Macaca fascicularis: one gene and its partners. The protein of the gene in region 3 interacts with the protein of the main gene of each other region in a biochemical or structural test. Links are inferred from orthologs where the notes say so. Each region holds a gene or a part of one and is shown on either strand. Other genes may lie near its edges. The genes, in order: UBE2H, INSR and TRIM72.

Region 1 (4,105 bases), on a different chromosome or scaffold from region 3:
ACACAAAAGGAAATCCGAAACATTTTAACTTCCAAACTCCGTTATACCAGAAAATAAACACGAAACAAAGATAACCTCTGGCTTTTAAATCTTAAAACTGTTATCCTCCTATCTCAGATCTACAATTTTAAAGCGCCCCTGCTTTCTTTTGTCAGAAAGGAAGGAAGGTGGGGAAAGAACAGAAGGCCAATGCATCTTTGCCTTTCTTCATCTTCTACTAAAAATAAGCTATGAAATAAGCCACTTAGGGGGAGAAAAAAAAAGACACCCTGCTGTTCTTTGTCTGTTTTCCTCTCCCTCTCCACCCCCCACACCCCGACTCCTAAATGCGGTAATCATTCTAGATGCCACAACTACTAAATGAACAAAAGGCACTGTATGGAAAAGGCATCAGGTCAAGTTAGGCCCCCCTCTTTATCCTCAATCTTTTAAAAATATGTCTATGTACATAATTTGAGACTCTGACAATGATCACAAACAGCTGGAATTCTATCTCCCCACTCCATCCCAATTAAACATTAGGTAGAAATTCGCATTAGGTGTGACAGTAACTCTCAATTCAAGATAAAAATAAATCAGATTCTGCCACCATGTCATTTCCTAGTTTCTAAACAAAAATAAAACCTGAAACTGCTTTGTCTAAAATGTACACACAGTCAGTTAGTTACAAGTTTTCCTGCAGCCTTATGAAAAGCCAACATTACTGGTATCATTCACACATTTACAAAACAATCACAGCCACAAACAGCTCATAAAGAGTTGATTTCACTTGTGCCTGAACATATATTAGGTACGCTATACTTTATTAGTTGCTCCGCTCTAATCTCCCACCCCCAAAAAATTCTAAACTCCAAACCACAAACTTAGAAGTCTATCTACTGCTCCTAATTTCTAGCCAAGTTTTCCCTGAGCAAGGAGAAAAACACCTTATTTCTGAAAAGATTATTTTTTTAAAAATATCTTGCCCAGACAACTTCCCTCCCATCCCCCATTGCCAAACCATATGCAAAAACTACTTTTTTAAAACTTCAGCAAATTCCCTAACTGAATTTTTTGACAATAATCACTGACCTCTACAAAGAAGTAAAACAATCAAAAACAGCAACAAGTAAAAGGAAGAAAAAAGGAATTCACCTGAAGAATTTAGCCAAACAACTTGAGTTATATAAACAAAACCCTGCAACAGGGGGAAACGGTGGGGGGATGGGGTGAAGGGAGAGAAACAGGAGACAGGACTTTTAAACTGTGTTCCACAGTACCACCCCCTAAGCCCCCACTTTCCCCCCTCCCCAAGGACTAGCTGTTCAGAACTCTGGGCTCCCCCCACCCTCTAAATTACCCTTCAAAAAACAAATTCTCCATTTGTCACAGGAACCTTCGCGAATTTCTCTAGCTGGTCCTTAAATAATCAGTCTGGACTTCAACCAAAACCACTGCCTGAAGGGCTCTTATCAGTTATGGCTTTCCCACTGCAGCCTCCAGAGTGCAGAAAGTTGGGGGGAGGGGGCAGAAAATAAAGGGTGTCACTTGGCGACATCAGGGCAAGTATTCCCCCAAGAAGCTGACCCTCACAGAGGAAGTTTTGCCCAAGTGGCCAGTCCAGGGACTATTTTGTCCAGGAGCTCCTCTTTCCCCGGCTGTCATACCCACAACATGGAGGGTGGCTTGCTGGAGGGCCCAAGGGTCTTCATCACATACAACCATGGGTGGGACAGGCTTTGTCAGTGGAAAGGAAAACAGTAGGGTTCTCCCGGGGACCAGAAAGCTTAACAGGAGGGACTGACTGAAAACACACAGAGCTCTTTCTTAGAAGAGGGGGCCCTGAGCAGGCGACTCTCTTCCTAATATAGAAAGGAATTAGGGATAAAAGAGGTCGCTTGAATGACCCCAGTTCAAGCAGCATTGTGGTTGGAGGAAATGGGGGCATCTCAAGGAAGGGAGAAAGGCTTCCGTCTCGGGAATTTCTGCCTTGAGTCCCTCAATCCAGAGGGAGCAAACAGGAGAGAGAAACCCTGAAGATGGGCTCGGTGGTAGAGAGTGAGGCGACTGGTCCTGCAAAAAGAAATAAGGCCGTCTGGGAGTCCAAACGTCGCGAAGGAAAGTCACGGGCTGTGGGGATACAGGAAGAGCGAGCAGCAACGCGTATTTCGGGGTGCTGCGGGAAAAAGGCGAGCTGAAAAGGCTCTCGGCCCCTGGGAGGTGCCAAGGAGCCGCCGTAGGCACTGGGGGAGGAGGGGAGTCTCGGACAGTGGCCTGGAGTGCCCCAAGGCCTTTGCAGTGGTTTCGGGGGTGCCCTGGGCATCCCCACACCGCCCCCCACACACATCCCGAATTCCCCTCCACGAAGGATACAGCTTGACCACGTCCGTGTCCATCCGCCTCTTGCCCGGACTGGGAGATGACATGGTGTCGCCGCCGCCTCCCCGCCGCCGCCTCTCTCCCTTCCTCGGCCCGTCTGTCACGGGCCCCGGGCCCCGGCTCTGAGGAGCCCGCGGCCGCGCCGGCTCCTCGGTGGAGGTGGCAACACCCCCGCGGTCCCGGCGGTCCCGTCAGCCGCCGCCGCCGCCCCCCGCACGGGGGAACACCGGGCACTGTCCGGCCGGGTGGGGGTGGGGACCCCGCGGCGCCCGGCTCGGGCAGCCCCTCTCTGGCTGTGGTTCCGCCGCGGCCCGGCCCCGGCACTCCTCTGCGCCGCGCGACGCTCCCTCCTGCCTGCTCTGGCTCGCTCGCCTGTTTCCCACTCACCCTCTGACCGGCTCCTAGCAGCCTCCACTACAAGCGGACGACTCCTGCTCAGTCGGCCTCCCTACCCCAGCCTCGCTCTGGGCGCCGTGACGTCACAGAGGTGACGTCATCGGAGGGGGCGGGCCTGGACGCTGAGAGGGGTGGGGCGCCGCTGCGGCGTGGGCTTTCCCGGTGCATTCTGGGAGTTGTAGTTCCTCTTTCTCCGGCTGTCTCACACCCTCTGTCCCCTCCCCCAACTTCCCCACCTACTTCATCGCTCAACTGCCAGTGTCGTTATCATCATCCTAAACGATAATAGTAAATAATGGCAATATTATTAAATGCGTGGATTTTAGGTTAACGAACCTCCACACACACTCTGTTTAACAAGCTGTTAATTTCTTTGATTTGGAGGAGGCCAAGGTAGCAATTACTCAGGCACCAAAATCTGGAAATTCCCACACCAGCAGGTTCCTTGCACTCCGCTCCCTCCTTGGCTGGAGAGAATTTGTTTCCAAGGATTGTAGACCACAGCAAGGCTTCTTCAGGCTTCAATACCAGGGTTCATCACAATCCACGTGTCTACGGGCACTATTTCAAAGATTAGAGTTTACACAGCAATGTGGTAAGGTCAGAAATAATTTAGTACTACTATCCTTATTCTACAGAGCATGAGGCAACTTCGCAAAGTGTGTGAACCTCCTACACCAATCTTAAATACTTCATTCATTCAATAAATATTTATTAAGCACTTCCTATGTGCTAATCACCTTGCTGGACATGAGGATATAATGGTGAACTAAGAAAGACTAAATTTAGCCGGGCGCAGTGGCTCACGCCTGTAATCCCAGCACTTTGGGATGCCGAGGCAGGAGGATCACCTGAGATCGGGAGTTCAAAACCAGCCTGGCCAACGTGGTGAAACCCCATTTCTACTAAAAATACAAAAATTAGCCGGGCGTGGTGGCGGGCGCCTGTAGGCCCAACTACTCGCAAGACTGAGGCAGGAGAATCGCTTGAACCCAGGAGGCAGAGGTTACAGTGAGCCAAGATCGTGCCACTGCACTCCAGCCTGGGCGACAGAGTGAGACTCTGTCTCCAAAAAAAAAAAAAGGAAAAGGAAGACTAAATTTACACAGCCCCCCAGTATAGTCTGTGGGTCTATAGTGTCAGCATCACTTGGGAACTTGTTAGAAATGCCGCTAGAGCTTCACTTCAGATCTACTGAATGAGAATTTGCAGTTTTAACAAGGTCCCCAGGTGATTCTTTTTTTTTTTTTTTTTTTTTTTTGAGACGGAGTCTCGCTCTGTCACCCGAGCTGGAGTGCAGTGGCCGGATCTCAGCTCACTGCAAGCTCCGCCTCCCGGGTTTACGCCATTC
Region 2 (3,539 bases), on a different chromosome or scaffold from region 3:
GTCTCTGCTCGCTGCAACTTCTGCCTCCCAGATTCAAGCAATTCTCCTGCCTCAGCCTCCTGAGTAGCTGGGATTACAGGTGCCCACCACCACACCCAGGTAATTTTTGTATTTCTAATAGAGATGGGGTTTCACCATGTTGGCCAGGCTGGTCTTGAACTCCTGACCTCAGGTGATCTGTTCGCCTCGGTCTCCCAAATTGCTGGGATTACAGCCACCCATTCCCAGCCACGTGACAAAATTTTCAGCGTATAAATAATTAACAGCCAAACATAGGTCTCGCTCCCCCATTCCCAGGTCTCCAGTTCCCTTCTCCCAAGATAACTACTGCTACGGGTTTCTTATGCAACATTCCAACTATACAATATGCAAGAAAATCTTACGATTTGCGAACACAAGCATGCCAGTAAAGACATAATATGTAAACAAGCACATATGTAAACACGTGTGCTTATAAAGATACGTAAACAAGGTGTACATGTGCCATATGCTGATGTACATGTAAACATACAGTATGCAAACATAAATACCTATGTAAATATATAATATGCAAACAAGCATACATGTAGCACATATGGAAACTCAAGTGTGTGTACCACCATGCAATATGCAAATGCAAACACGCATGTAAAGACAAGCTATGCAAACACAAACACACCTGTAACATATAGCATGCAAACACAGTGAGCGTGTAGGCATAGGAAAGGCAAAACCAAGCACACGTGTAAAGGGCAATACCCTTTCAATGCACACCTCACACACCTCAAACCCTTTCTACACTTACACTCTCTCTGGACAGTTGTCGGGTTGATCCAGATACCCTCCGTCCATGACAAATTTCAACACCTGTTCATTAGACAGGCCTTGGTAAGGCTGTTCTGCCAAGCTGGTGATTTCCCAAAGGACCACGCCAAAGGACCTGTCAATGACAGTTGAGAGTAGTAACAAAGAAACCATTCACACACAAGCAAACACACACGCAAACAAACACACACGCACACAGGTAAACTAGCACACAACACACGCAAACACACATGCAAACACATGCACATGCACACACACACACGCAAAAACACACACACAAACACGCACACAGGCAAACTAGCACACACATGCAAACACATATGCAAACGCATGCACGCACACAGGCAAACACACACAGGCAAACTAGCACACACACATGCAAACACACACGTGTGCACACATGTAAATACACAAACACACGCAAACACACGTGCACACACACGCAAATACACACAAACACAAACACACATGCACACAGGCAAACTAGCACACACGCAAACACACATGTACACACGCACGCAAACACACGCACACAGGCACACACATTTAATACACAAACACGCACACATATGCATACACATACACACGAACAGGCAAACACACGTGTGCACACACATGCAAACACACCCAAACACATGCACACACATGTGCACACATGCAAATACACGCACACGTGCACACACACATGCAAATTCACACACACACACGAACACGCACACAGGCAAACTAGCACACATGCAAACACATGCATGCACACACACACACACGTTTAATACACAAACACACAAACACACATACACATACACACAAACACACACACACACGCTCACACACATGCAAATACACAAACGCACACACACACACACAAACACGCAAACACATCTCTTGGTTTGCGAGAACATGGTTGGCCAGTTAATAAAACAATTCATGCTGCGGTCCATAAATGCTATGGAAGGAAAATCAATCTTGGGGCCCCCAAATCACTAAACTCAAGGAAAAAGTCCAGCTGGGAACTGCTTGAACAAACTTGCCTCCCACTCTATTCAAAGTCCCCCCTCTGCTCACTGAGAAACATTCATATCTGATTGGCTCCTTTGGAGAGGCTCATCAGAAACTCAAAGAATGCAACCATTTGTCTCTTATCTACCTATGACCTGGAAGACCCCTCCCCGCTTCGAGTTGTCCCGCCTTTCCAGACCCAACCAATGGTCATCTTGCATATGTTGATTGATGTCTCACGTCTCCCTAAAATATACGTATAAAACCAAGCTGTGCCCCGACCACCTTGGGCACATGTGGTCAGGATCTCCTGAGGCTGTGTCATGAGCACGTGTCCTCAACCTTGGCAAAATAACCTTCCTAAATTAACTGAGACCTGTCTCCGATTTTCGGGGTTCACAATGCCTACAGGATTAATTAGGACATAAGAGTAGCCATGGGAAGGTCCTCAGACAGGACGCTGCCTTCCTTTCCTTGATGGGGGGTCCAGGAGGATGGCAGGCTTCCTTCCCCCGCTCTTGGCTGTTACTAGCACCTGGAATTCAAGCCCAGCGTCCGTCCACCCCTCCACACACAACTCACCACATGTCAGAAGAAGTGGTAAAGACCCCATCCTTCAGGGACTCCGGTGCCATCCACCGTACAGGGAGCAGACCCTTGCCTCCTTTCCGGTAGTAATCCGTTTCATATATGTCTCTGGTCATTCCAAAGTCTGACAACACAAACGATTCACACGCTCTCAACCTCCAGCCTTGGTCCTACCATTTGCCATCTTGACTGCCCCACCTCTCACGGAGCCCTAAGAGGGGTTCACCTGGCCCTGGTGTGCGCTCACCTGGGCGGTAGCCAAATCCAGTAAGAAGGGATTCTGAGGGTGCACATGGGGAAGTGAAGGGGGAAGATGGGCTACTATTCAAAGGGAGGGAAAAGAAGGTACCAAATGACAAAGCAGCTACATTTTTCTTTCTTTTTCTTTTGTTTTTTTAGTATGGAGTCTCACTCTGTCCTTCAGGCTGGAGTGCGGTGGCGCGATCTCGGTTCACTGCAACCTCTACCTCCCTGATTCAAGCAATTCTCCTGCCTCAGCCTCCTGAGTAGCTGGGACCACAGATGTGCACCACCACACCCCTTTTTAAAAAAATTTTTCATAGAGATGGAGTCTCACTATGTTGCCTAGGCTGGTCTCAAACTCCTGGACTCAAGTAGTCCTCACACCTTGGCCTTCCAAAGCACTGAGATTACAGGCGGGGCCCCCGGTCCTACAAACATATCTTTTAAAGAAGTGAGTTTATCAATACATGCAATTAAATTACAGCCTGGTGGGGGGCAGTCCCCATCCAAAATCTTGCCCAGGCCAGGCACAGTGGCTCATGCCTGTAATCCCAGTGCTTTGGGAGGCCAACACGGGTGGATCATTTGAGGTCAGGAGTTTGAGACCATCCTGGCCAACACGGTGAAACTCCGTCTCTACTAAAAATACAAAAATTAGCTGGGTGTGGTGGCGCACGCCTGTAATCCCAGCTACTTGGGAGACTAAGGCGGGACAATCGCTTGAACCTGAGAGGTGGAGGTTTCAGTGAGCCGAGATCCTGTCACTGCACTCCAGCCTGGGTGACAGAGCAAGACTCCATCTCATAAAAAAGAAAAAAAAAGCCAGTGTGGTGGCTCACACCTGTAATCCCAGCACTTTGGGAGGCCGAGGCAGGAGGATCACGAGGTCAGGAAATCAAGACTAT
Region 3 (4,203 bases):
GAAAGAAAATAAAAGAAAGAAAAATTCAAGATGAAACTGGGGACTGTGCCACTGCGCGAGGGCTTTGAGCGTATCCCGCGGGGCGCACTCAGGCAGCTAGACATCGTGGACCTCACCGACCAGCTGGTCGCCTCCTACTACGAGGACTACGCAGTCGAGTTCGTCGTGGCCGTGCTGCTCGACATGGGCATGCTGGAGGAGGCGGCACAGCTGCCGCGGGCCGCGCGAGGGCCACTCTGAGCTGGTACGTGATCTAGGGACCCAACCCCGCTTCCTCGCCAAGGACCCAGGCGTCGGGTCCCGCCCAGAGCCTTCCTGTTCCCCTCCTCCTTCAGGGTCCCTCCTGGGGTCTTCCCTCAGACCTCCGGCCAGCCCCTCCCGGCGGCGAAGGGCTGGGCTGCAGCGAACCCCGGTGGGCTGCATCTCGCCCCACTGCCCCCTTCCAGGCTCCTGGGCTGCCTGGGCCCTGTTCCGTTTCATGGGTTCCGTGCTCTCTTCGCAGATAAAGACGGGCAAGGTTGGGCGAGGTTGGAATGCGCTCAAAGCCCTCGCGCAGTCGCACAGTCCCCAGCTTCATCTTGAATTTCTTTCTTTTCTTTCTTAAGCACAGGTGTGCTGGGATGGGAGGGCTCCCGGGAGGAGGCTCCTGCCCTGAGCTAGGAGACCACCAGCTAGGCCTGGGCTGAACTGGGCCAGGCAGGAGCTGGCGGGACTGAGAGGCTGGGTCCTTGGGAAGCCCGGGGGCCTCGAATACCAACGAAAGGACGGTAGTCTACCCCCTCTAGGAGGCAGGCCAAGGGAAGGAGTAGTGCAACGCCTGTGAAGCCAGCCCCGCGCGCGCACCAGTAGCGTAAGACGACGGCAGTGTCTCCACCTCGGGGACCAAGGACGCCTCCGTGCCTCCAGACCCCGCCTCCTCCAGCCCCTGCACCTGTCATTTCTTCTTCCACTGCCCAATAAATATTCATGACAGATTTTCCTGGGGCTGCGCGCACACGTGCCCGCCGGTAGCTACACGCGTGTGCTTTTGCCACACGTATAGCACGCACTAGCCAGTGTGCGTGGGTCTCTATTTGCCTCTGTCTGGGTGTCTGCTGAGTACCTCGGGACGCACACAACCACGTGTGGGCTCCCAAGGCGTTCGGGACTTCCAGCTCCACCCAGAAAAACATCCTGGACGGGGCTCTCGGTGCCACCCTGGGTCCGCGCACGCAAGTGCAGATCCCGGTTGCCTGGCCCTTCCAGTCTCCCTTTTGGTGAGGCCCCGCCTGGGGACCGTGAGGCCAGCCAAAGTTCCGAAGTTTCAGGGGTGCGTGGGCCTCCGCTGAGCACCACAGGACAGCCCTGGCCCGGCCGCCTGGCTCGGCCCGGAACGCCGCGCCTCCATTCCAAAGTGGGCCAGCGCCGCGCAGGGAGCCTGCCCGACCGGCCCACCTGGTGAAGGAATGAGCGCGTGGGCCGTAGGGGCTGGTCAGTCGCTGCTCCGCCTGGTTCCGGCCCGCCCATCAGACCAGCCCTGGGGCTCCGCCCTCCCATCTCCAGGTCCCTCTAGAGGCTAAGGCCGGGAACCTAGGTTTGCTCAGCCCCCTTCTCGCCAGTCTCCGTCCCTGCGCGGCTTTCCTCTGTCAGCCCCGCCTTCAGCTCCTCAGACACTCTTTCCTGGCTGCTTCGCCCCGCCCCCGACCCCGGCAACTCCAGGTCCTCTTTAGAGACTCAGAATCCAAATCAGTACAGCGACCTCCCCAGCGGCCAGCCCCCGCGCCGCCGAACAACCCCTCCGACCCCGATGCGCTCGGATCCCGCACCTTGAGGCGTGCGTGGGCCTCGGCGGCGGGCAGCAGGCGATGACCGCGGTGCGAGCCGAGTGAGGCGCACACTCCGCACACCAGCGCGCGGTCCTGCTCACAGTAGATGCTCAGCGGGTCCAGGTGCTCCTCGCAGTGGCCCTGCGGCACCTGGGCCAGCCCCTCCACCAGGCGCGCCAGCTGCAGGTTGGTGCTGAGTGCCTGCGGCCGCGTGGGGGCCTGACAGCAGGGGCAGAGAACGGTGCCATCCGCCGCCGGTTCCCCGGCCACGCGGCCCAGGCAGGCGCGACAGAAACTGTGGCCGCACTCGGCTGTCACGGGCGCGTCGAACAGCTGCAGGCACAGCGGGCAGGACAGCTCCTGGTGCAGGAGGCCGGGCGCAGCCGACATGGCGGGCCTGGGTGGAGGAGGAGTCGGTTAGGGGGACCCACGGCGCCGTGCTCCCGGCCCAGCCCTGGCCCAGGCCGGGCCCGCCGCGCCGCAGGGAGAAGCCGCAGCCTGTAAAGACCTCCCATCCTACACTGGATGGGGCTCTGACCGCCAAAGGGGAAGAGGAACTCGGTCTCAGGTCCAAAAGTAGCCTCCACTGCAATTCTCAGCTCCAGCTCCAAAAATATGCTCTATTGGTCAACCCCAGTTCCTGAACACAAGCCCAGGTCCTAGCCCACTGTCCTTGCCCTCGCCTTAGCCCCAGGCTTCAGCCTCTGACCTCAGCCCTGGCCCCAAATTCTCCAGAGCCCCCACTTCGAGACTCCCCTCCCCCACTTTACCAAGATCTCCAGCCCTCCCCTCCCCCCCTTCCAGCCCACGGGACTCACAGGTCTGGTTGGAGATCTTAGGCTGAAAGACACTGGAAGGAGGACCGGTAAGGGTCGAGCCGAGCTGGACTGGGGTCAGGGCTGTGTCCAAAGATCTGAGACAAGCAGCAGGCTCCAAGCAAGGACAGGGACTCACAGGGGAAGCTGGCAGTGGACACCACGCGTGATGGGCACACAGTGCTCAGTGGAAGACCCTCCCAGACTGAGCCATGGCTCCAGGACTATATTTAGCTGCCCTGCCCAATCCCTCCCATCACTTCCGGAAACCGTTCTAAAAGTGAGAGCTGAGTAGTCCCCGTGCACGCATCACATGCCAGGGCCACCTGTCTTGGCCCATCCACTGTTCCCTCCCCAGCCAGCCTGTAGCCAGAGCTCAGAGCCAGCGGGGAGACAGGACCTTTCTCACCACAGAAAAGACAGAAAATTGAGGGGGGATCTCCCCTTTCTCCCCCAACTCCCACCTCCACACTCTCCAGCTCCTTCCTCCTTGCTGGCAGCCGCTCCCCAGCCTGTTGCCCATTCATTCCCCAAGTTTATGGCTGACCAAGGTCACCCTGGCAGGATTATCCCACCTGCAGGAGGGCAGGACCTCACCCCACTCTGAAATGTTTTCTTCCTCCAGAGCTGAGGGGAGGGTCTTCTCCAAGTTGGTCTCTCTAGTACACCCAGGACAAGCCTTGGGGCAAAGTAGGCCTCTCTAAATGCTTGGAGAATTAATGACAGAGAGAGATTGAATAAATGAATGAACTGAATCCAGAGCCTGCAGCCCAGAACTCAATTCTGCCCTGGTTCCTGTATGTGTATCTTTCAAATCTCAGCTGAAATTTCATTTAAGTGGCACTGGGATAACTGGCTAGACATATGCAAGAGAATGAAAGTGGACCCCTGCCTTTCACCATATAAAAAAATTAACTCAAGATGGGTTAAAGACTTAAATGTAAGACTTCAAACCATAAAAATTGTAGAAGAAACCCCAGGAGAAATACCATTCTGGATATCAGCCTTGGTAAACTATTCGTGACTAAGTCCTCAAAAGCAACAAAAACAAAAATTGTTAAGTGGGGCCTCATTAAACTAAAGAGCTTCTTCACAGCAAAAGCAAAAGCAACTATCAACAGACAGACAACTGAAGAATGGAAGAAAATATTCACAAACTATGCATCCAACAAAGATCTACCATCCAGATTATATAAGGAAACTAAACATTTCAACAAGCAGAAAACAACTCCATTAAAAAGTTGGCAAGGGCCAGGTGCGGTGGCTCACACCTGTAATCCCAGCATTTTGGGAGGTCCAGGCGGGTGGAACACTTGAGGTCAGGAGTTTGAGACCAGTCTGGCCAACGTGGTGAAACCTCGTCTCAGAAAAATACAAAACTGGCCGGGCGCGGTGGCTCAAGCCTGTAATCCCAGCACTTTGGGAGGCCGAGATGGGTGGATCACGAGGTCAGGAGATCGAGACCATCCTGGCTAACACAGTGAAATCCCTTCTCTACTAAAAAATACAAAAAACTAGCCGGGTGTAGTGGCGGGTGCCTGCAGTCCCAGCTACTCGGGAGGCTGAGGCAGGAGAATGGCATA

The links.
Region 1: the proteins of TRIM72 (region 3) and UBE2H form a complex in vitro, tested with the Homo sapiens proteins (2 studies listed by BioGRID). The link is inferred for Macaca fascicularis from reciprocal best matches to the Homo sapiens genes TRIM72 and UBE2H.
Region 2: the proteins of TRIM72 (region 3) and INSR form a complex in vitro, tested with the Homo sapiens proteins (2 studies listed by BioGRID). The link is inferred for Macaca fascicularis from reciprocal best matches to the Homo sapiens genes TRIM72 and INSR.

The regions. Positions count from the first base shown.
Region 1 is NC_088377.1:171,449,747-171,453,851, forward strand, and holds the start of UBE2H (ubiquitin-conjugating enzyme E2 H), read right to left. Parts: upstream 2,825-4,105; 5' UTR 2,406-2,824; coding exon 2,353-2,405; intron 1,423-2,352; exon of another isoform or gene 1,340-1,422; intron 1,178-1,339; exon of another isoform or gene 1-1,177. UniProt on the Homo sapiens protein: Accepts ubiquitin from the E1 complex and catalyzes its covalent attachment to other proteins. E2 ubiquitin conjugating enzyme that transfers ubiquitin to MAEA, a core component of the CTLH E3 ubiquitin-protein ligase complex.
Region 2 is NC_088393.1:7,844,023-7,847,561, forward strand, and holds part of INSR (insulin receptor), read right to left. Parts: intron 2,516-3,539; coding exon 2,386-2,515; intron 920-2,385; coding exon 785-919; intron 1-784. UniProt on the Homo sapiens protein: Receptor tyrosine kinase which mediates the pleiotropic actions of insulin.
Region 3 is NC_088394.1:29,402,390-29,406,592, reverse strand, and holds the start of TRIM72 (tripartite motif-containing protein 72), read right to left. Parts: upstream 2,828-4,203; 5' UTR 2,624-2,827; intron 2,203-2,623; 5' UTR 2,196-2,202; coding exon 1,806-2,195; intron 241-1,805; coding exon of another isoform or gene 23-240; intron 1-22. Other genes in the region: PYDC1 (pyrin domain-containing protein 1), read left to right, coding at 23-240. UniProt on the Homo sapiens protein: Muscle-specific E3 ubiquitin-protein ligase that plays a central role in cell membrane repair by nucleating the assembly of the repair machinery at injury sites.